Linked DNA regions of Caenorhabditis elegans. The protein of the gene in region 1 interacts with the protein of each later gene in a pairwise test. Each region holds a gene or a part of one and is shown on either strand. Other genes may lie near its edges.

Region 1 (10,635 bases):
AGAGAGTTGTCTACAATGAGACCTAAGTCTCTCGTGCATTTTGACTCCATTATAACCTGCTCATTAATCTAGTATAAAGAGGAGGACAGTAATTGAGTCAGAACATTTCTTAATGATGAGGAAGTTTATATTATCTATTTTGATGGTAACTCAACAAGTTATGTTGACCATATAGGACAGTAGGCTGAATTCTGTAACCACCCACCAATCAATAAATATTTTCAGAGTATCTTCATACAATTTGGCTTGTGGATTTGAATCGTCTTCGAACATGATGTCTGTTAGATTCAAGACAAATTATGATCTTACCGATAAAGGATGGTTGGCGACGTGGAAGGCAATGAAGAATATGCCAGTTATAAGTCAAAGTGGATCAAATGGGGCAATGATTTCACCCAATTATCCATTAACCTATGATTCATACGATGAACAAGTCTATCAAATAAGTGTTGCCTGGGGAATGCAGGTCAATTATCAATTGATGTATTCCGAACGCAGAACAAAAATGATTATTTAAATATTTATAACAGCACTACACAGTCGAATAGTACTCTTGTAACCACGTAAGTTTTTACTTTTTAATAAATGACGGGTTGGTACGACCATCTGAAGACGTGCCTGTCTACTATAAAAGTTTCAATTTTCCTCATTAATAATATTTCTAAATGTGTTTTTAAAAAACTATAGATACAACAACGACGTGACTTACATTTCTGAACTAATTGAACTTTTCCAAAATTGTTGACTAAAAGAATTGCTATCAATGTTTGAAAATAGTTTAATCACTTTTTATTGCTCCCTCTCGAGTTTATCGACCCTTCACCATTTTTAAATTTTGAAAATATTAGACTATGAATACAATAGCACGGAGCAAAACCAAACTTCACAATTTTCTCGTTAAAAATAGTTTAAATATACCAATCAATATTCCACTCATTCAGATTATCCGGACAATCGGTAGCTCCATTCAACTACATTTCTCCAAGAAGCTACATGTCAATGAAATTTGTATCTGATGGATCACTTCAATACACTGGATGGCATGCATTTTGGAGCATTTGCTAGTTGAAATTCCCTAACATTAAATTCGATTCAATTTGATCGAAATACGACTAGTGATCAGTTACATTTGTAGTGAAAATGTTTTACAGAATTTTTCATTGACGCACACAGTGTGCATACAATAAATATCAATCAAAACAAATTTGAATCGTTTGAAAAACTTTGAGTAATACATTTTCTTTCTTCGAGTTTACTAAAATTTTAGGTCAGCTTCTCATTACCAGAAGCTAGGGTATTTATACTTTTTCTGACAACATCTACAATATTTGTCCTACCATAATTCAAAACTCTCAAAAGTATTATGACGTCATCTATTTTCATGTACAAAACTTGTAAATGTATATGTTTTTCTGTTTTAACAACTTCTACGTCTTCTCGTTCGTCCAGAAGTTTCTCCGATTTCTGATCTTGGAATGTTTTTGTCGTCGATTTATGTCGTAAAGAGCATCGTCATCAAATATCCAATTACTAATAATATGCCCTTTTCTTTCGGATCATGAACCAAAATTGGAGAAAAAAAATGTAGTAGGGGGTGTGTGACTATCATCTGTTTATGTCGGTGTCAAATTTCGTTCATTTTTTCATGTTTTAAGTTTTTGATTCCGTGACAAATCCGACAAATTCCGAACAAAAAATCAAACTTCCAAACGTGGAAAATAAGGAACTGATCATATTTCAGACTGGGAAACTTTGTTCCATCAAATTGGTCAGAGAGAGATCCAATTACCAAAAACGTGGAAAGGAACTTTCTATGAACTTTGGCATAAGATTATGATTTTCTGAAATAGAAAAAAATGTTGTGTCAATTTGGAAAGCCGAAATGTTGTCTTTACGATTTTTATTGTTTAATTTTGTTTTAATTTTCGAAAGTCACAATTTTTGAAAATTTGGCAATTTTCCAAAAATTCCGCTGAATTCTTTGAAAAATCTTTGCAGCAAATTGTCGTCTTGGGTCCTCGCACGAACAAAACTTCTCACCTACCGTAACCCTGCTGCTTTTGCATCCTGGGTACGGTAGTTTGAAAAAACTTTGTTCGTGTCAGGACCTTGTTTCGTAATATGAAGACTCTTATCAAAAATAAAATTTGATAACCTTATTACTAAATTATGAAACTCAAGTTTCAGAAAAAATTTCCAATTTTTAAACATAAATTTCAAAAAAAAATTCCTGATCTGTATGTCTGTTAGTCTAGATGTCGGGAATTCTTCTTTAAAAGTATATCCCCATTTCCTTATCCTCCAGACAACTTCTTCTCAAGTTTCTCCACCCTCTGAATCTCGTGATTCCATTAAAACTCGGCGCCGCCCATTTCCACTTTTCCAGAATGCTTCCAAAATCAGAGCTCCACCCTCGGTTTGTCCTTGGATTTAATACATTTTATTTGCCCGTTCATTTGGACTTTATCACAATTTCCAGCACTTCTAACAATGTCACTGCATTTCTCCACTATTCAAAAAACAATTCTTCTAATCTCATTCTTGCTCCTCGTAACATTGGCTCCCAGAACAAGTGCAGCTTTTCCATTCCAAATTTGTGTCAAAAAAATGGAAAAAATGTGCAGAATCATCAATCCAGAGCAGTGTGCACAAGTAAATAAAATCACTGAGATTGGTAAGTTGTTGAGAAAATAATTTTTTAAAAGTTCCTATTCAAAATGAAATTTTCAGGAGCATTGACAGACTGTTGCACCGGACTGTGCTCCTGGGAAGAAATCCGGATCTCCTGCTGCTCCGTTTTATAATATATAATTCGTCGTTTTGCCTTTTCATTGAATTATTTTGAATTTTGTAAAATGGAATAAATGGACAGATTTGTATACAAGAGAATGTTACACGTACAATAAAAGTGAGTGCGCTGGAATGAGAAAAAAGTAAAAGGGGACTAGAAGACATGTGATGTGACAAGTTGTTACAAGGATAAAGGCACATAAAATCAGTAAAAAATCTATACAAAAATACGTCTTATAGATACAAAAATTAGTACATTTCAGGTACTAGGTACCGTACTTCCTTTCAATTTCTGTTTCCTCCTTGAGAATCATTATGGCAGTAGAGATGTGCCAATCGACCATCCGGATACCGGACAAATGCGCTTACAGCGATTTTCTTCTCACAAACAACACATTCACTTGAGAAATTGACGATGATTTTAGTAGATTGCGCCTTGTTTTTGCGCTCCAGCTTCTTTGACATTGCACATTGGGACACAGATTTTTCCATTTTTCGCTGAAAATTTTCTAGATATAAAGCTTAAAGATTGGAGGTTTTGTAAACAATTTTATCTACGTAGAGTATACGCAACAGTTTGATCATTGAAAGTGTGTTTAATTCTGTAAACATCCTAAATTCAACCGGAAATTCGATCAGAGTCCAAGATATTGCTTATTGTAATTTCACAAAATTTGACATGCCTGCTTAAAGGCGCATAGTCTTTTTCAAATGGGTCTCTACGCGCAAAAAAGTTTAATGTAGTCTTTTTTTTTCGGCTGCTCTCTCGCCGATTTCCTTTTTTAAAAAGATAAATTATATGTTTACGTTTCATTTTCTGATAAAAAATTATTAAAATCAATTTTTAAAGTGAAAAATATGTTTTCCAATTTAAAATGCGCATTTTTTCTGTTTGTAGGCCTTAAAAAAATATTAAGAAAAAATTATGAAAAAGCTCAGGGAAAATAAAAGATAACGCAGCTGCAAAAAAGACTACCATAAACTTTATTGCGCGCCAAGACCCATCTGAATACATTCGTGCGCTTTCAAGAAGGCATGTCAAAACCTTGGACAATTATAATAGAAAAGAAAATAATGAACGCATCTCTGAAACTTACAGTGCTCGCTTGTCGTCCGGTAGTTTGAATCACCGCGTTAATTGCCGAGAACACGACTCTGAGCGGAGTGGTGGCTGGAAGCATATTCAATGCTCCAACTGTATCGATTTTATCTGCATGTTTTGCCAGAATCTTGATTGCTGTATTGACATCTGGTTGATACGATGATGTAGAGTTGACTAACGTTGATGCTTCAGAAACATCATCACGATATGATCCGAATGGAGTCGAATCGGCGTGATAAGGAATCGAGTGCAGTTGTTGCTGATTTGGATGTACCAGAGTTCGGAAGAGCATCAGATACACCTGTGAATTGGTCTCATCGTGTGCATTGTAGTAGAGTCTACAGTACTCCTCTGCTGCAGGCACATTCTTCAGTGTATTCACATATATAGCAAGCGCCTGCTCGTGTTGTTTCAGTCGTCCAAGAATCAGAGCTCTTTCCTCGTAAAATGCATGTGGTGCTAGTTGAAGAAGCACTGTTTGTGGACTGTATGAATGGGAAACTTCGAGAAATTTCAAAAGTCGTTTTCGGTAGAGGCCCAGCTCGCCATCCTCGTCTCCCGCGCGAGTGATATTCTCATCTGAAAATGCTTTTAGAGGTTGTATTTTTTTTTTGTTGTGCTATGAATCAACATACCGTCTGGGAAAGCGTGTACATAATCCTTAAACAAAGTGTTGACTCGTGCCACATAGAATTCCAAAAGTGTCTCGTGAAAATATGAAGAAGGTTCTTCCCATTTGAAAATCACGTGCTCCAAGTACGGAATCAGTGCATCCGGGCATTCGGATTTCAAAAATTCCACGACGGCTTTTCGATTTAAATTTCTAGCCATTTCTGTTTCGTCACTAGTGAATATTTGAACTCCGGCTTCCAAATTTTTGGCTAGTACCCATTTTGCGTACTTTAGAATTAGTGGCAAATTGCTATTTCCAAGACTTTGAAGATATTCGACAATTTGTTGAATAGCATCATCGAAAAATGGATCAGCATCCGGGCGGCTAGATTGATCGATAAACAAATCGAGAGCCATTTCATGCTTTTTGCGGGTTTCGTAAAGAATGAATAAAGATCGGAGACGTCCTTCAGATTCGAGGATCTTCTTTGCATCCTCAAATGTGCACGCGTTGCTTTGAAGACGAATTAGAGAATCCACAAGCATTGGTTTCGTCTGAAATTTTAATTTGTTTTAATTTTCCATAATTATTCGAAAAACCTTAATATAACACTTTAGAAGTGTTGTATCTACAACTCTCAATGTCAACAAGAGCTTTGCCTTCTCATCTTCATCAGTTTTCTTTGCCGCTCCCGATGAGTACAAACGATTGTATAATTCAATATGCTTCGCGTGTTCAGTTCGAATTTCAGATAGATAACTACCGAGAGCCAAAAGAGCACGCATTCTGTCGTTAGCAGGCATATCACTGACAACTCCGGTCATTGATTGAAATCCATCTGGAAGAAGCTCGGGAAACATTCGAATAATTGAGAGCACTTCTGAAATATCTCAAAAAAAATTTTAATTTTCTTATGTGAAATGAAGCACTAACCGGTTTTAATTTCTCCAAATAATGCGAATGACTCGTCAAACTTCTTCTGATTGAATAAATTCAATGCAGCCTTCTTTTTAATTTCTAATTTCTGTTCTTCTGCAAATAAATTCGAATTTTCAGCCAATTGAATTGCTAGCTCGAAATGACGTTCCTGTATCAAATGAGACACGTTTTTTCGAAGATTTTGTGAAGTATCAAGAATCCAAATATCGGAAAGAGCAGCGACGAACACTTGTCCACGAGCACCACTGCAGAGTGTCATAGCCTTCGGGAGGGACATTGTCTGTACAAGTTGACCATCGAAAATTGAACGAACTTCGACGCGGCCTTTTGAGAGCATTCCAACCAAGTAAGGTGAATCGTATACTGGAAATTTATAGGTAACTAATTAAATAATTTAATTCCACAATAAAGTTACCGATTTGCATGGGAACTTCGCTGAACTTGTACTCGTCACTTAATACATTTGCCGGACGTTGTCCCCAAATATCAGTGGTTACAACTATTTCATTCCTCACAAATGCAACTCTTCTTCGATCGATCATTGGCACAATGCCAGGCTGACAGTTGAAATTTAAAAGACGAGTTACAAAACCATTCCATCCTTCCGGAGTTGAACCTTCACTTGGCGAAGTGGTTGTCTTATCTTTTTGCATTGTCATAGAAAAATACTCGTTTCGAACAGAAAAGAATACCATTTCACCAACGCATCTGTAATTTATTCTATCTTTAATTTGTTTCATAAACTTTTGTACCTTATAGATGTTGGAGTATCCAAGAAAACTGGATTATAATCCAATGCAACTTCTATAAATTCTTTGTGGCCATCTTTCTCTCCCCATTTGAATAAATATAACTTCTTTCGTGACGAAACAATTACGTACAGGTCTCCAGATGTCTGAAAACAAAAATATTGAATAGAAAATTCGGAAAGTTTCCAATGAACCTTGGGTGAAAATCTTGCAAAAGTCTGAACAGGCTTCACTTTGTGAATTAATGTTTCAACTTTATACTCTGGATCGCTGAGCTTGTGAGCCATCAATTGACCGTCGGACACGCACAAAAGGAGATCTTCACGTTGGCAAACTTTCAGTTCCATTACTGCTTTCTTGTGAAAGCTTTTGCAGATATTTGTGAGCTCGAATCCACGACGATCTGTAATTTATCAATATTTAGAAATAGATTTCTTGACGATTAAATATTACTAGCTGAAATTGTGTATGCATAGAGATGTCCTGCTCTTCCACCGGCTAACAAGGTTTGATTCGATTCTGAAAGCAATCATGATTGTAAATTCCAGTGATTTGATATTGAAAACCTTGAAATGCAAGACATGTTACTTCTACGGGTAATCGGAGAGCTACTTCGCAAGGCGTGTATGCATCGTACATTTTGCTTTGGTGGGTCGAAGTACCTGAAATGAAATTAAAACTGAAAATTATGACAGTAATATAGAGAAGAATAAATTTTCGCAAATAAATAATGCCGAATAATCAAAACAATTATTTGTGTCTCGAAAAAACAGACTTCAAATTATCGTTCCCGAAGAGGGGGTACGCTTTCGTAAGGGGATTTTTTCGTAAGGAACGCTTTCAGTAGGGCAATGTGCGGCGCGCCTTTTCGCAAGCCCGCCGCACAGTCCTTCGCAATCGATTCGAAATCGATTGAAACCCGTTTTTGTCATCGAAAATTCTGAAAATATCCGTATTTAGCTCGAATAAAACTAATTAATTTCCATTAAAAATCCGTTTTTAATTGAATTCCGTTCGAAATTTCCTGTTGGAAAAATAAATAAATAAATACGAAGAAGCGTGCGGCGCATTGCAAAAAGCCGTGCGGCGCATTGCGAAGGACTGTGCGGCGGGCTTGCGAAAAGGCGCGCCGCACATTGCCCTACTGAAAGCGTTCCTTACGAAAAAATCCCCTTACGAAAACGTACCCCCTCTTCCCGAAGTGCTCGACGAGTAAACGCGCTCCATTGAACACTTTTTTCGCGCGCATTCAAATTTAGTTTTTTCATGCCTCCAATATTTTTGTATGGAAAATTGATCGTTTCGCACTGAATTTGTAAATTTTGGAAGAAAATTTTTAACCAAAAATGCTGAAAAAAAAAATTAAAATTAAATTCTTGAAAAAAAATAAATTTTTTTCACATTCCAAAAATCACAGATAAGACTACAAAATATCATGAGGGCCACTCCTCGGAAAAAGCTGGGAAAAAAGACAATATTCAAGTCGACTTGGAAACATTCGTAGCCTGTTTTTTTTCAGGAATCGAAAATCAGCAGAACTCTACACATCATCAGTGCATTGAGAAGACAATATAATACGTTTATAAATTGGAAAATTTATTATTAATATTATTCACTTTATTATAATTAAACTTAAAAAAAATAAATATTAACAAAGTTATTAAGAGAGCGGACGCATTTTGTGCAGTGGAGGTGGGTCGCCCTTTTCTGCAAAATCCAGGAGTTCGAGACGAAGAAGTGGATGAAGAAGGCGGTGGAGGTGGACTATCTGAAAATTTTCCAATTTAAAAACCTAGGGGAGACTGAATTTTCGGACTTTTACATAAATCTGACTGACCAAGAGAAAAAAATCCGATTTTTGTAGGAAATCCAGGAGTTCGAGATGAAGAAGTTGATGAAGATGTTGGTGGTGATGAAATATCTGAAATGTTTTAATTTAAAAACCTAGGGAAGGCTGACTTTTCGGATTTTTACATAAATCTGACTGACCAAGAAAAAAAAATAGGGGTTTTGGCAGATCCAGGAGCTGGAGACGAAGAAGCTGATGAAGATGGTGGACGTGGTGGACGATCTGAAATGTTTCAATTTAAAAACCTAGGAAAGACTGAATTTTCGGAATTATACATCAATTAAACTGACATAGAGAAAAAATCCGATTTTTGTAGAAAATCCCGTCGTTCCAGGCGAAGAAGTGGATGAAGGTGTTGGTGGTGATGGAATATCTGAAATGTTTCAATTTAAAAACCTAGGAAAGACTGACTTTTCGGAATTATACATCAATTAAACTGACATAGAGAAAAAATCCGATTTTTGTAGAAAATCCCGTCGTTCCAGGCGAAGAAGTGGATGAAGGTATTGGTGGTGATGGAATATCTGAAATGTTTCAATTTAAAAACCTAGGAAAGACTGACTTTTCGGAATTATACATCAATTAAACTGACATAGAGAAAAAATCCGATTTTTGTAGAAAATCCCGTCGTTCCAGGCGAAGAAGTGGATGAAGGTGTTGGTGGTGATGGAATATCTGAAATGCCCCTCTACTGAACCGTCAATTCTTTCAAACAGCAATGTCTACAATCAGAAGCCAGCGAATCGTGATCTATATTCCTCGGTGATGAAGAAGAACCCTGTGCTGAAGAAAGTTGTCGAATCGATTAATCTGGTATCTACTGCTCATTCCTTTGAGAAGAAATCGAATCTAGCTGTTCTGGAAAACCTGCCCGATGCGAAAAACCCGGATCAAGTTAGTTCCGATTTTAATCTGGTTAAATCTTTCTCCCTTGAATTCTCTCTCCCTGTTCCCACTGAAGTTTTTAGAGTTGCTACCAAAAATTCCAAAATCATTTCCCGGCCAACTAAAGTTCGTTTCAATTCTGAATCCCTTCGCGATGAATTTCTTACCGGTTTCTATAAAAATTGGCGCAACTTTTCCTCTATTCCGCAATCTCCTCGACCGATCCGTGCGCGTAGGGACTTGACTCCCCTCGAGCTTGTCGCGCTTCGTGAACTCCGTAAGGAGGCCTACGAAGCGAACCAGGCTGCGGGCTGCATTGCGCACGTTATCCGGGATCTTGAAATTGTGGACCTGATCTATCCTCGTCCTTTTCCGATGAACCCAATTTCAATCCCTCTCGCCGCATAGGGAGACGGCCGCCTGACACTGAATGATTTAACGCCTCTTTCAAATGACATCCCAACACAACAAACATCACAATTAAATACAAAACTTAAACATAACTCAAAGGCGGCTCTCGTCTGTGTTTCAAAGCCCAAGCTGGTTAATTGCATGTAGGCTAATGCTCGTTCCATTGCATCGCTTGAAAAACTTGAATTTGTCCATAAGTTCGTAGCCTCTAATAGTTTAGACATCTTGTTTGTTACCGAAACATTTCTAAGTAATGCTTTTACTGATTTCTCATGCTCTTCACCTCACTATACCTGCATAAGATCTGATCGGCTTGAGTGCCATCCAAAAAATGCGGCGGAGGTACTGCTGTGTTTTTTCATAAAAAATGGGCTCTTACGCCTGTCTCAATTGCACCTTCCTTTTATCTCTCGCATTTTTGTCAAATTCTGGCATTAGACCATAAGCAATCCAAAACTAGATTTATACTGATATACCGCCCCCATCCACTACCGCAAGTAGAACCGCTGAGCTCTTTAAAAATCTAAACCAGCTTCTCGACTGCCCCTCCTATACTTATGTCCTCCTCGGTGATTTCAATTTTGCAAACACCAAGTGGAATTCAAATTTTCTTCCCACGGGCTCTGAGTATTTCTATAATTGGATGAAATTTCATGATCTGGCACAAATGGTAAATTTTCCGACTCGGTTTTCCAAATTAAACAGTGGCACGTTTCTTGATCTCATATTTACAAATAATTCCGGTGTTTTACAAAATTTAAAACCGGGTACTCCATTTATAAACTCAGATCATATTTCCATTTTCTTCTCCTTATCTCTCCCCCAGCCCACTCCTGCTCATTCTGCCCCTCCCAAGTCTTTTATGAATTTCAGAAAATGTGATTTTTTCAACCTCAATGGATACATGGTGTCATACAATTGGCCTAAACAGCTATCATTCTTTGCTCCACCTGATTCTAAGCTTAATCATTTTCTCAACATTTTTAATGAGCTTATCTCTGATTTCACTCCCCAATATCCAACATTAAGAGTTCAAAGTCCAAAAGTTACAGGTAGGAAATTATACAGAAAACTTCGTAAGCATCACCCAGACACTGAATCCTCAGTTTTGAAAAAGAGAGTTAAATCAAGATTAAAATTCCTCAAAAAGAAAAATATGGCTTTTGAAAATAAATTAATTCACTCTAAGAACTCTAAAAGTCTATTCTCTTACATTAGAAATCGTATAAAGCCTTCCAGTTCTCTCACTCATTTCTCTGTAGACAATAATAATGTTGATAAACCGATTGAAATGGCG
Region 2 (4,176 bases), on another chromosome or scaffold:
ATTTTCCAGAACTTATTCATGCATTTGAAGCGAAAACAAGAAAAAAGATCTGCAAATTAATTTTGAGCATGATTCCACCTTTCGCTTCGAGACCAGAGTAAAAAAACGTTAATGCGCCTTTGAGTTACGGTAGTACTGATTAATGGTTTGAACACCAAATGCATTTTTTTTCGATTTTGGCATGTTTTCCTTCTTTTTTTTCAAGTTATATCCGAAAAACCTAATTTAAAAAACTGAATAATCTTTTATCTAAATATTAACCATATAAATATCGACATTCCACTCGATTTCACAAGAAATTTCTTCATCTTTGAAGTTCGTACGCGGAAAATGCTATTAAAGAAAAGAAAATAAACGAGACGCAGACAAATGCACACGGCGTGCGCAGTAACATATCGATTTTGAGACGTAAACATAATTGAGTTCACTAGTCATGAGAGTCTGTTTACTCGTACATCGATTTTTCACTTTTCTTTCTTTCCCCTCATCACTTATTGTTTTGCTCTTTCCATAGTTTCGTCCTCATCTCAAAACTTCTTTCGAAATTATTTAGATACCCGCATTTTCAACAACGGAAAATCTAAGGAAACCCTTAAAATGTCAAAAAAATATCGCAGATTGCCAATTTTTGCTGTGAAATCTTGATCATATTTCATCACTTCTCCCTTTTTCGAAAATCGCGTCAAAGATCTAAAGTTCCGAGAAAAAAGTTTGCAGAAAAAAACGTCAGTTGTTCTGATTGGGAGTAGTAGATTCAGACTGGAAGTTCTAGAGATCATCTGGTTCCCCTGCCCTTTATCTCTCCCTGCCACTATTTTCAAAGTACAAGCACTTTTTTTACGTAGACCGATATAAAAGAGTTGGCTGGTATAGATAAAATCTTTAGTTTTCCGTTAATTTAAACGGCCCATTTTAATATTAGAAATTTTCATTCATAAAACCAAGCATTTTCACACTAGAACATTAGTTGAGAAGTTTTCTAGGAAGTATTCAATTAAAACGTTTTCTCCTATAACTTTCTTAGTGTCGCCAACAAGTCTCGCTGTCATATTTATTTAATTCGTTGCCACTCATCGTTTCAAATTTCGCTATCATTTCATCTGTCTGACACTGCTTCGAACTTCTGTATTAGCTGGGAGAAGGGTCATAATACACACTCTCATCTTCTCTAACTCTATTCTTTCTTTTCCCCATCTATTCCTTCATCACATGATTCTTCTCTTCTCATCGTCTCTCCGTCTCGCGGTCATGTGTCCTCGACGCTCAGTCGATCTTGTGGTGTGAGAAAAGAGAGTAGCATCAATGAAGAGACACAGAGGACAAAGAGACATACAGCAAAAGAGCGTGTGTGCTGCCTACTGCCTCTGTCTCGATTTTTCCCTCTGTCCCATTCCCTTTCACCTGTCTTTTCGCTTCTTGATAAAAAAATTCTCACAAAAACATACAGTGTCCTTTAGCATCTCACACTCTAATTTCTCTTCTAAAATCAGTTTTCTCAACTTTTCAAATACCAGTTACCATTTTTCAAGTTTGCAGATCGAAAATCGGGTCTCAGCACGAAAAAGTGAAGAAGCGTTTATGCTAGCCACGCTTCAAAGTTACACACAAACAGCGATGAGCGGAAATCGGGGAGGATCTTACATTTCCGGAATCGTTCCATCGTTCAAGGAAAGAAGGCCATTCCGTAAGTTTTTTAAAATTCATTTACTAATCAAACAATTGTCATCAAAATAAAAATAGAGCTTCAAGTCTCACTTTAATTTTACTTTAACATCAAACATCTGGTTTTCATCCCAACCAATTCATTCCCAATCATTCCCACTTTTTTTTCCTTCACCCGTCCATTGTAAAAGGTCAGAGACGCAGAGGACAGACACCCCGCGTCATGCGTTTCAGCGAGAGAGCATGAGGAAACAAGAGACAATATGCAAGTGAGACATGTGAAAATCAGCTGATCTTGTGTGAATGAGTGACTATGTCAGTGGAGCAGCACCCATGGAACATTGCGTATTAATTGGGTGCTCTTCGTTGTATGAAAGAAAGAGATAGATGGACCTGAGAAACAAAGATCAATAGGGCAGGTGCAAGGGAAATAGGATTATAGGAAAATTTGGATCAATATTGATATTCTAGAGTTCAAAATATTGCCCACCATTCAAGATAACAACCAAAACTGAACGTACGCCAATCTTTAAATAGAAATATGAATTTTACGAGTGGAAAAGAGAAATCCAGAACTGAGGAACAACTTTTTTATTTTCAAATTTTCGAAAGAAAACCTTTTTAACCTATTCGATTTCAGATGAGCGTCAGAAAGATGTGGAAGAAATCCGCAGCCAACAACCGAACAAGGTTCCGGTAATTATCGAAAGATTTGATGGAGAACGCAGTTTACCACTTATGGATCGCTGCAAATTCCTAGTACCCGAGCATATAACCGTTGCCGAGCTCATGTCAATTGTTAGACGACGGTGAGCTATTCAACTGAGTTGTTTTTTCAAAATCATCCGTTTGCTTTTCAGCCTCCAACTTCATCCACAACAAGCATTCTTCCTGCTCGTCAATGAACGCTCAATGGTGTCAAATTCTATGAGCATGTCCAATTTGTACAGTCAAGAGCGTGATCCAGATGGCTTTGTGTATATGGTTTACACGTCTCAACCAGCATTTGGATAACACATCAAGAGCCGTTTTCCATCACAATTCTAATCAATTTTTAAATTTCCACCAACACCACTGATTGCCCAATGCAATCCTCACTGTAAAATGTTGTATTTTTAAATGTAAATACCTGAAAACCCATCATACTCAGGCGCCAACCATTTTTCTAGTTGCCTTTGCTAATTTCGCCCCTCGCAATTCCCCACCTCAAAACTTCCAGCTGAAATTTGTTTTACAAACGAAAAAAAAGAAACCCAAATTCGCTTACGTTTTCGTGTAGTCTTTATGTGTTCCCTCATAACTCTTTCTCCGCATTTTCCAGCCCGTTTCTTGAATTTCTTCATGTCTTCTTTTCACAACTGATCCTCTTTCAACAAAATTTAAACCGTTTACGATTCTGTGTACTTGGCTAGTCTCTAAAGCCCATAGGGACTATTTTCCTTACTGCCCTGAACATTGAAATTTACCGCTATGGACTTTCTGACTGCCTAGACGGATTCAATTCAAAATTATTACATCTTGTTCCATCGTTACTTTTCCAAATTCAATGTATCAAATGTTTTGTATGTAATAACAACTTTTTCGTCGTTTTTATCTGGAGAATGTTCATTCACAAGGAGATCACATACATATATAATAATAATAAGAGATGATGATGATATCAACGATTATTCTTCTTCCTGGGTTGCGAATGGATTGGCGATTTGCTCGAGTCCATCTGCTGGGCTAACTACTGTAATTGCTGTTCCGCGAGCCACAATAAGACCCAGTTGTCTTAAGATAAAAGATAAGATAAAATCGAAAATCTAGATTTAATTTGAAATCCAAGCTTTAAATCGATTTTTGGAAATCTATCAATTACCTTGTCTCATCACCGACGACCGAAGGATTTTGTGGATCACGGAGATACTCGCGGCAGTCATCAAGAACCATATTGAGCAACTGATCGAATCCTCGAAGCACGCCACTTGCTGAAATTTATACATTTTTATGGAGTGAAGTACAGCTTGTGTATGTTGGACGCTTTCATATTGTTTAAATAGTTTAATGACGGAATCTTATTGCTAGTGCACATCATTGTGCAAAAAAAAAACCAACCTTCACGTCCTCCTTGGAACTTGACGCGAATCTCTTTGTCGAGAAATCTGGTGAGATCAACGACAGACTCCTTCTTTCGTTTTCCTTCGTCTTTCTAAAATAATACAACAATTATAAATAACTTATTCATTGTATTTTTAAAACATACCGACATTTCTCTGTGTTGAGTTGTGGTGAGTCTGAAATAATTCCGAAATTTTGAATGAAATTATCGATTACGAATGAAATAAATTAAGCTGACAAAATCTTATTGATTTAGAATTTTTTTAAACGGTATTTTTAATTGATAAATTATGATTTAAAATTACAAACGTATATAGAGAAGAAAATAAAATAAAGAAAAGAAAAAATAAATTCGAAAAATATTAGCTCAACAACGGTGCTGACGCACTTTTCGAACACACAGCGCACCGGAAA
Region 3 (7,414 bases), on another chromosome or scaffold:
ACCTAAATTTGAGGTCTGGAAATTTGCAAAGTATTCCTCTGCTCTACAGATTTTTCAAATTGTGAGTTATTTCAAGTACTTTTTATCTGTTGTTGTTGAATAGTTTTAGTTTAGTAATGAACGTATTTTTAATATATATATATATATGTTTTGTGCAAGAAACCAAAAACTTAAAATTAGCATGGAATTCTAGTTTGGAAGCTTCGTATCCCTTGTGCTCATTGGACTTGTTGGCTCACAGTTTGCTCCAACATATGCTGCTCTTTTGACATGCGTCTTCGCAATAATCGGATCATCTGTATTTTTGTTGTGCGATGTTTTTAATATTAATGAGACTGAACCAGATGAATGGGTTTTTTGGGTAAGAATATATTGAATTATTTATTTTTTTCGAGTTTTCTACAGGAAAGCGTCTTCATTTCATCATTCTCATTTTTGTTCACAATCAATACACTGACCATGTTGTACAGTTCGATTCGATGGAATAATACGGCCTGGTGGCTGGCAACGGTATGTTATGCAAAATGTGAAAACGCGCTCCACGGCAATTGACAACGCCCGCCCCCAAACCATGGGTCTCGTTAGATATTTGTCGGCAAAACCGTAAATTCAAACTTTTTGACTTAATTCCGCCACTTTGGCGAAATAAGCAAAAATGAAAATAAAAACATTTGAATGTACGGATTCGCCTCCAAATACCTAACGAGACCCATGGTTTGGGGGCGGAGCGTTTTCAAATTGCCGTGGAGCGCGAAAGAAAATCAATTTCAGGTTGTCTGCGCTTTGGTGACAGTCTCGTTTCTTCTCAGTCTGTTACATGTGATGAAAAACCAAACGAAAGGTCATATTACTGTTAAACAGGAGGAGAATGTTGTGCGATTTAATACGCGGATGAACCGCCGACGGATTTGAATTTATATCAATAAATGTACAATTTGACAATTCATATAAATACTGATAATAAATACATTTAAGACACAAATAAAACGTAAGTAACTTAGAAGAAAGTGATCAGAGAACTGTGGGTTTACTATCAGATCGGATGGGGGACAAGTGGATGTAATTGAACCGAGTATATGTAAGTAATTGATTTAAATATATAACTATTCCGGGATGGATTTAGGAAGAGTAGTTGGATGAACCAATCGGGAATCAGATGATGAAGGAGTATCCGGAGATGGAGAATCCCATGAATCCGGTCTTGGTTCCGGTGATTCAGGTGGCTTAGTGGGATCATCAGTGAGAAGAGCCTTCTCCATATATTTCCTGGATATTGGCAAAGCCGTAAAAACTTGTCCGGGTCCGTTACGAAGAGGTTTTGAAGTATCACTTGTGACAGCGTCAAATGCGGGCGTACGAAGTGGAGTTTTGATAGCATCCGCGTGGGTTTCAAGACTGAAGTGAGAGTAATAGCGAACGAAGTCACTTATAGTTGTCAGGTAGACATTGCTGTGCTCGAATCCCCATCCTTCTTCGTTTTGTTCGATTAGACAATGTGAGACACGTTCTCCGTGAAGTACACTCAATACGAGCTTATCACCCTGAAAAATATTCAATTCAATTCAAAAATTAGCGTGAATGAGGATGAAAAGTTATTCTTCTGATAAAATCATAAACTAACATGAGAAGAGGATCCTCGAATCAAGAAAATACCATCTTGTGGCTCTCTTTTCAATCCAACAGCCTTGTCAAGTTGAGCGATCCGATAGCGAGCATGAATCAGAGCATTCGCAGCATTTTCCTTAGAAGTTCCACACATCAAATATTGTGCCGGTGTCCACTTCAATTCCATATCGACAAGAAGTTGAGTGACTTTCGTTGGCTCACTGTTTATCATTTCCGCTCCAGCATCAAGCATTGCAGCCATTCTCGAACAAAGTGCTGGTTCCATTTTATCATAGACTGCACTACGAAGTTCCATAAGCTTGCAGAGTCGTGTTTTTGAATTGGATCTTTTCATCGCGATTTCATCCAAAATTCCGGAGAGCGTCTTTTTCTTATCCTTTGATGACGTCAGTTCAGTGTTTATTCGTCGAATACTTTCTTCCACAAACTGCAAAATAAAAAAGATAAAATTCAAAACTATAATGGTTAAAAATTGAGGATTTGCTCTAAAATCATTTTTAAAAAACCGAGAAAAAAATTGAGCAAAAATTAATAATCCAGCTTTGAAAATATTGAGTTTTGGCTAAATAACAATTTTAAATTGAACTTCTTTTTTTTGCTTTAGAATTGTTTTTTTTTGGTTTTGGATGTTTTTTTTCTTCAAAAAACGCTTACTGTCTTATTATTTGCAAATGCTCCTTTGAGCATTTCACTTGTTGTCTGCGATCCCTGTATTTGTGTAACGACGTCTGTTTCAGCTTCTAACAAATTATTCAGTTTTCCAAGTTTAATCTCATTGTCCCGAACTGATTGATTCAAAGCATGATAGAGACTTTCAGCTCGTTCCATTTCTTGATGAGCTGAATCATATAGCTTGGCTCCTCTCTCAAATGCCAAATGTACTGCTCTCAAATTTTCCATTTCCAAGCGTTCTCTCCAATCTAAAAAAAGCATTAAATTTACTAATTTTTATTTTTTTCAATCACTCAGACGCGAAATTTTGCCACTTTCGCGATAAAAATATGGTACGAGGTCTTGAAACGACAAGAGAAATTCCGCAGCAATTAAAGTTTGAAATTACAGTATTTTTAAATTTAGCGTTTGCGTTATAAAATAATTTACCATGATCATTTTTTGCACTGAGAATCATACGCTGCTGAAGTTGCCCCTTCTTGAAAAATGGTTTTCCATTTTGAGAGTTACGACGAACAGAAACTGGATATAAAAGACGAACATCAAGTGCATCATTGAAAATATTGAGAGAAATATTTCGATGAAATTCAATTAATCTGACAACAGAATCGTGAGTTAATGAATCTGTATTGAATCCGCATTTTCCATCTTTAACAACGATTCGGAGAAGTTTCACTTGGGCGGCAAATCTGAAAAAAGGACTATTAATATTGAATACTAATTTTGAAAAACCCACTTCACAGAAAGTGTATAATCTCCAGGTGTACTAGCATTTCTCACAATAAATGATCCATCAGGTTGATCAGAAAGTGCTTTCGAAACTGCAGATCTATCAGCATCAGCCCAGTACCATCCTTGTTCCATAAGACTATGAGTGACTCCATGAGGAGTTCCAGGTGTTGTGCTCATTCTGAATCCTTATATATATATATATATATATAATTAACGGAGGAGAAGAATCTGTGGTGTTTTTGCCGAAGTAGACTAAATCTGGCACAAGACCAAGCCGAGACCAAAAAGCAAAGCATTGAAATTTGTGAAAACACCAAAAAAAACCAACAAAAAAAGTATGTATAACATGGTCTGTAGACCAATGGAAATATCAACGAGAAAAAAAATTCGAAGAATGCAAATAATTAAATAATTTTATTTGAAATATTTACACCCATAAATACTAGCAATTCGTCCCGACTATTAAGTGCTCGCTTTTTTGAAAATTTTCATCATAAGAACCATTGATACGAAGCTCATAAAAATCAGAACAATGAGCATGACCTTGAAACAGTCATAACCACATTTGTAGGCGTGACGCTCAACTCGCTCACTTTGAATCTGGAAATTTTAAGACTATTATTTGAAGTTTATATAGTGAAGAAATTACCCCGAGAGCTGTTTTATTATCATCGACTTCTTTCGCCATTAATATTGCTCTTTCTGTATCTTCTTTAATCACATCTCCAGCAGCCGACATCATCGTTTTGAATGATCTCGCCATAGTGGCCAAACTATTTGCTAGCTCCTCCTCGACAAGCTCATTTTTCATGAATTCCTGATCTTCTATAAAATTTGACGAATTTTGAACAATCATTGGATACTAATTTTTACCAGATGTGTCTTGTGCTCTATGTTTATTAGATGAAAGCAACTGCTTCCGAAGATCTGATCGATAGATGGATCGTTGAGTAGCTCGGAGTCCAGCTGCGGATTCTTTTTCAAAATCGTAACTTTCCGCCTCGTTATCTGCAATATAAACATTAAAATGAAATATTGAATAATTCAAAAACCATTCTTGGAGTCTGCAACAGTTACTTGGACATCGGGAAATACACGTGGAATTTTTTCAATCACTTTCAGGCGCTCCTCGGCTGACGACTGGAAAACTTACTGACAATTTCATAACAGTTGCGAAATTCACAAAATATTTAAAGCTGTTCAACTTGTTTTCTTTACTTAAATCTAAATTGAAAAGAGGGACATAAAATCTACGGAACATTTGCATAATATTTTAGGATTAAATTTTTAATTGAAACAAATCAAACAAATTCAAATTAAGTTTAGAAATTATGTAAAAATTTGTATCTTTAAAGCAAAATTACAAGATCGAATTTGCTTGTCTAAAATATCTACAAACCTTGCTTTCAGCTTCAGCGAGTAATTTCAGTTGCAAGACTTCCTGTCGGTACTCGTGGAGAATATCATTTGTGGTTCTGGAAAAGTAAAACTATAAATATTAAAAAATGTATTTTGAAAAACTCACTCATCGTTTTGAAGTGTATAAATCATTTTATTGAGAATCTTTGTAGCTGCAGAAACCTGAAATAAGAAAAATAATTAATTAAACAGAACTTAAAATGTGATACTTGCTTTCCAAACGTTTGCTGACATATCCTCTTTTGTCAAGCGCTTTGTTCGCTCGAGAAGTCGTAGAAATTTCAGCTCATTTTCAGAAATATACGCCATTTCATTGATGTTTTGACAAAATTAGATAAAAAAATAAAAATAAACGTTGACAACTTGAAAACAAATAAGTTCGGCCACGGCCGAGAAATACAAAAATGCAAATGCGCTCATGCGCGAAAAAATTTTCAAGTCATCCTTTTTGTCGAGGACTGAGAGATTCTTCTTGTTTTATGTAATTTTTCTATAGGTTTCTGCCGTTTATATTTTAAAATCATATTTGTCTAGATTATCTTTATATTTTCAGAGAATGGCCCGTCGTTACGATAGTAGAACGACCATCTTCTCTCCGGAGGGAAGACTGTATCAAGTCGAATATGCTATGGAGGCTATCAGCCATGCTGGAACTTGCCTCGGCATTCTCTCATCGGAAGGAATCGTCGTTGCTGCTGAGAGAAAGAACGTTCACAAGTTGCTGGATGATTCTGTCATGACTGAAAAGGTCTACCGTCTTTCGGACAACATCTCGTGCACTGTCGCTGGTATCACCGCCGACGCGAACATCCTCATCAACCACTTGAGATGGTGGGCTGCCAGCTATCGTAACAGTTACGGAGAGGAAATGCCAGTTGAGCAGCTCGTCCAGAATCTTTGCAATGAAAAGCAGAGATACACGCAGATTGGTTTGTTGATAACTTCTCTCTTGATTTCTATTAATATGATTTTCAGGAGGAAAGAGACCGTTCGGAGTGTCACTTCTCTATATCGGATGGGATAAGCACTACGGATATCAACTTTACCAATCTGATCCTTCCGGAAACTACACTGGATGGAAGGCAACCTGCATCGGAAGCAACCACCAGGCTGCCGTAACCTTGTTGAAACAGGAGTACAAATCCCCAAATCTTGAAGAAGCAAAGCAGTTGGCTATCAAGGTTCTCTGGAAGACTTTGGATGTGAAGCTCGCTTCCGAGAAAGTTGAGATGGCTGTTTTGACTCGTCGTGATGGAAAGACTGTGCTCGAAGAGCTCACCACCAAGGAAGTCGATGCTCTGATTGCTGAGCACGAGAAGAAAGAAAAGGAAGCTGAGACTGCTGAGAAGAAGTAATCTATTGCCTTTGAAATAATCTTTCAAGACTGTATTGTAAACCATCCTCCCACCCGTTTAATTTATTGTCTGGTTTTATTTCTTATCACCCATATTCCTATCTCAAACGTCGGTGAAAATTAAATATTTGTATTTTTAAATTTTGCTTTCTTTAATTCACCTTGTTGTTGTCCGTGCAAATCTTTGATTATTTGGTCAAGCGAGAGTGCTGGAAAAAAGAAGGAGTGTGCCGCAACATTGCAATGGGCGGAGTCTCGAATTTTCTCGAGCATTTGGGGGAAAACTGGATTATTAAGCCGAAATCTTCAGAAAAAAAATCGCTTTTGCATTTTTAGATGGTTGACGAAAGTAAACTGCAGTGCTATCATAAAGGATGCGGTCTCCTTTTCGATCCCAAGGAGAATGACAACGGTAAGATTAATTGGAAAATAAAAAAAATCAGTTTAATTTTTCAGAAGCTTGTACATATCACCCTGGGGGTCCGTATTTCCATGATGCATACAAGATTTGGACATGTTGTGATAAGAAAAGTACTGATTTCGGTACATGGATGAATTATAAAGGATGTACGCGTGGAAAACACAGCAATGAAAAACCAGTCGATATTGTAAAAGTTGCCGCGGTAAAGGAAATTCGACCAGAGAAAGAAGAAGATGTTATTGTTTGGAAAGGGCTCAATAAATCTGGAAAATTGGATAGCAAGGATGCGACAAAGAGAATTGAGCAAAATTTGAATGTTTGTATTTTTAAATTAAATTTTTTATAACAAACACGTATTGCAGGTTGAAGTGACGCCTGGAGCAACCGCAGCTATTGAGAAAAAGCTGAAAGAAATATCTGAAGCTGCTCAAAGTGCGGATATTCAAATTGGCGCCCCATGTCGAAACAATGGATGTTCTACTGAATTCGATGGATCGAAAAACAAGGAAAACTGTCAGCATCACCCTGGAGCTGCCATTTTCCACGAAGGAATGAAGTATTGGTCGTGTTGTAACAAGAAAACTTCTAATTTTGGAGCTTTCCTTGAGCAAGTGGGCTGCACTTCAGGCGAACATAAGTTCAGAAATGTGAGTTGAAAAAACTTCAAAACTTCAAAAAAAAATCGGCGTTTTTCAGAATGAAATTGTCAGCAAATTCCGAGAAGATTGGTTTTCGAGCAATGGATTTGTCACCATCAACGTGTATTGTAGAGGTGCTCTACCCGAAACCGCAAACATCGTTTCCGATGGTCACACCGTTCGAGTGAGTATGAAGCACGGATTTGGAAATGCAAGCGTGGATCTCGATTACGATTTATGGGATGAAGTTATTCCCGAGGAAAGTCGTGTTGTCATTGGCGAAAGAAAGGTCGAAATTTCATTGAAACAAAAACACGGAACCGGATGGCCTCGTCTCAAATTTGATCCTGAACTGGATGCAAAAAATGATGAAGAAGCTTAAACTTTGATTTTAATTTCCATCAAACATATCTTTCTATTTGTTCCCAAACCGTTTCCCAATCCCACATTGATCTTCTATGAACCTGAATAATTTTAAATCATGGCGATAACCATTTTCTTCATAGCCAGTAGGATTTCTTCTTCTTTCTTCCGAGAGATCCCACTATAAAT

What was found.
Region 2: the proteins of vps-39 (region 1) and lgg-2 interact in a two-hybrid assay, tested with the Caenorhabditis elegans proteins (one study listed by BioGRID).
Region 3: the proteins of vps-39 (region 1) and pas-3 interact in a two-hybrid assay, tested with the Caenorhabditis elegans proteins (one study listed by BioGRID).

Annotation. Positions count from the first base shown.
Region 1 is NC_003283.11:14,031,518-14,042,152, forward strand, and holds vps-39 (Vacuolar protein sorting-associated protein 39 homolog), read right to left. Parts: upstream 6,856-10,635; 5' UTR 6,833-6,855; coding exon 6,760-6,832; intron 6,713-6,759; coding exon 6,647-6,712; intron 6,597-6,646; coding exon 6,388-6,596; intron 6,340-6,387; coding exon 6,197-6,339; intron 6,153-6,196; coding exon 5,860-6,152; intron 5,808-5,859; coding exon 5,439-5,807; intron 5,395-5,438; coding exon 5,105-5,394; intron 5,060-5,104; coding exon 4,528-5,059; intron 4,481-4,527; coding exon 3,888-4,480; intron 3,289-3,887; coding exon 3,076-3,288; 3' UTR 2,806-3,075; downstream 1-2,805. Other genes in the region: ins-10 (INSulin related), read left to right, coding at 2,491-2,674, 2,731-2,804. UniProt on the Caenorhabditis elegans protein: Plays a role in vesicle-mediated protein trafficking to lysosomal compartments including the endocytic membrane transport and autophagic pathways.
Region 2 is NC_003282.8:10,933,264-10,937,439, reverse strand, and holds lgg-2 (Protein lgg-2), read left to right. Parts: upstream 1-1,536; 5' UTR 1,537-1,578; coding exon 1,579-1,684; intron 1,685-2,302; coding exon 2,303-2,471; intron 2,472-2,522; coding exon 2,523-2,676; 3' UTR 2,677-3,244; downstream 3,245-4,176. Other genes in the region: lsm-7 (U6 snRNA-associated Sm-like protein LSm7), read right to left, coding at 3,330-3,435, 3,524-3,632, 3,760-3,853, 3,908-3,913. UniProt on the Caenorhabditis elegans protein: Ubiquitin-like modifier involved in the formation of autophagosomal vacuoles (autophagosomes). When lipidated mediates tethering between adjacent membranes and stimulates membrane fusion. Less effective at promoting membrane fusion than lgg-1.
Region 3 is NC_003279.8:5,103,637-5,111,050, reverse strand, and holds pas-3 (Proteasome subunit alpha type-4), read left to right. Parts: upstream 1-5,002; 5' UTR 5,003-5,005; coding exon 5,006-5,378; intron 5,379-5,424; coding exon 5,425-5,804; 3' UTR 5,805-5,941; downstream 5,942-7,414. Other genes in the region: Y110A7A.21 (MARVEL domain-containing protein), read left to right, coding at 1-61, 194-361, 406-510, 772-912; aap-1 (SH2 domain-containing protein), read right to left, coding at 1,104-1,541, 1,622-2,053, 2,281-2,546, 2,728-2,987, 3,035-3,207; use-1 (Vesicle transport protein USE1), read right to left, coding at 3,493-3,630, 3,680-3,855, 3,904-4,038, 4,083-4,170, 4,430-4,505, 4,556-4,611, 4,663-4,758; chp-1 (Cysteine and histidine-rich domain-containing protein 1), read left to right, coding at 6,140-6,215, 6,260-6,540, 6,587-6,871, 6,921-7,244.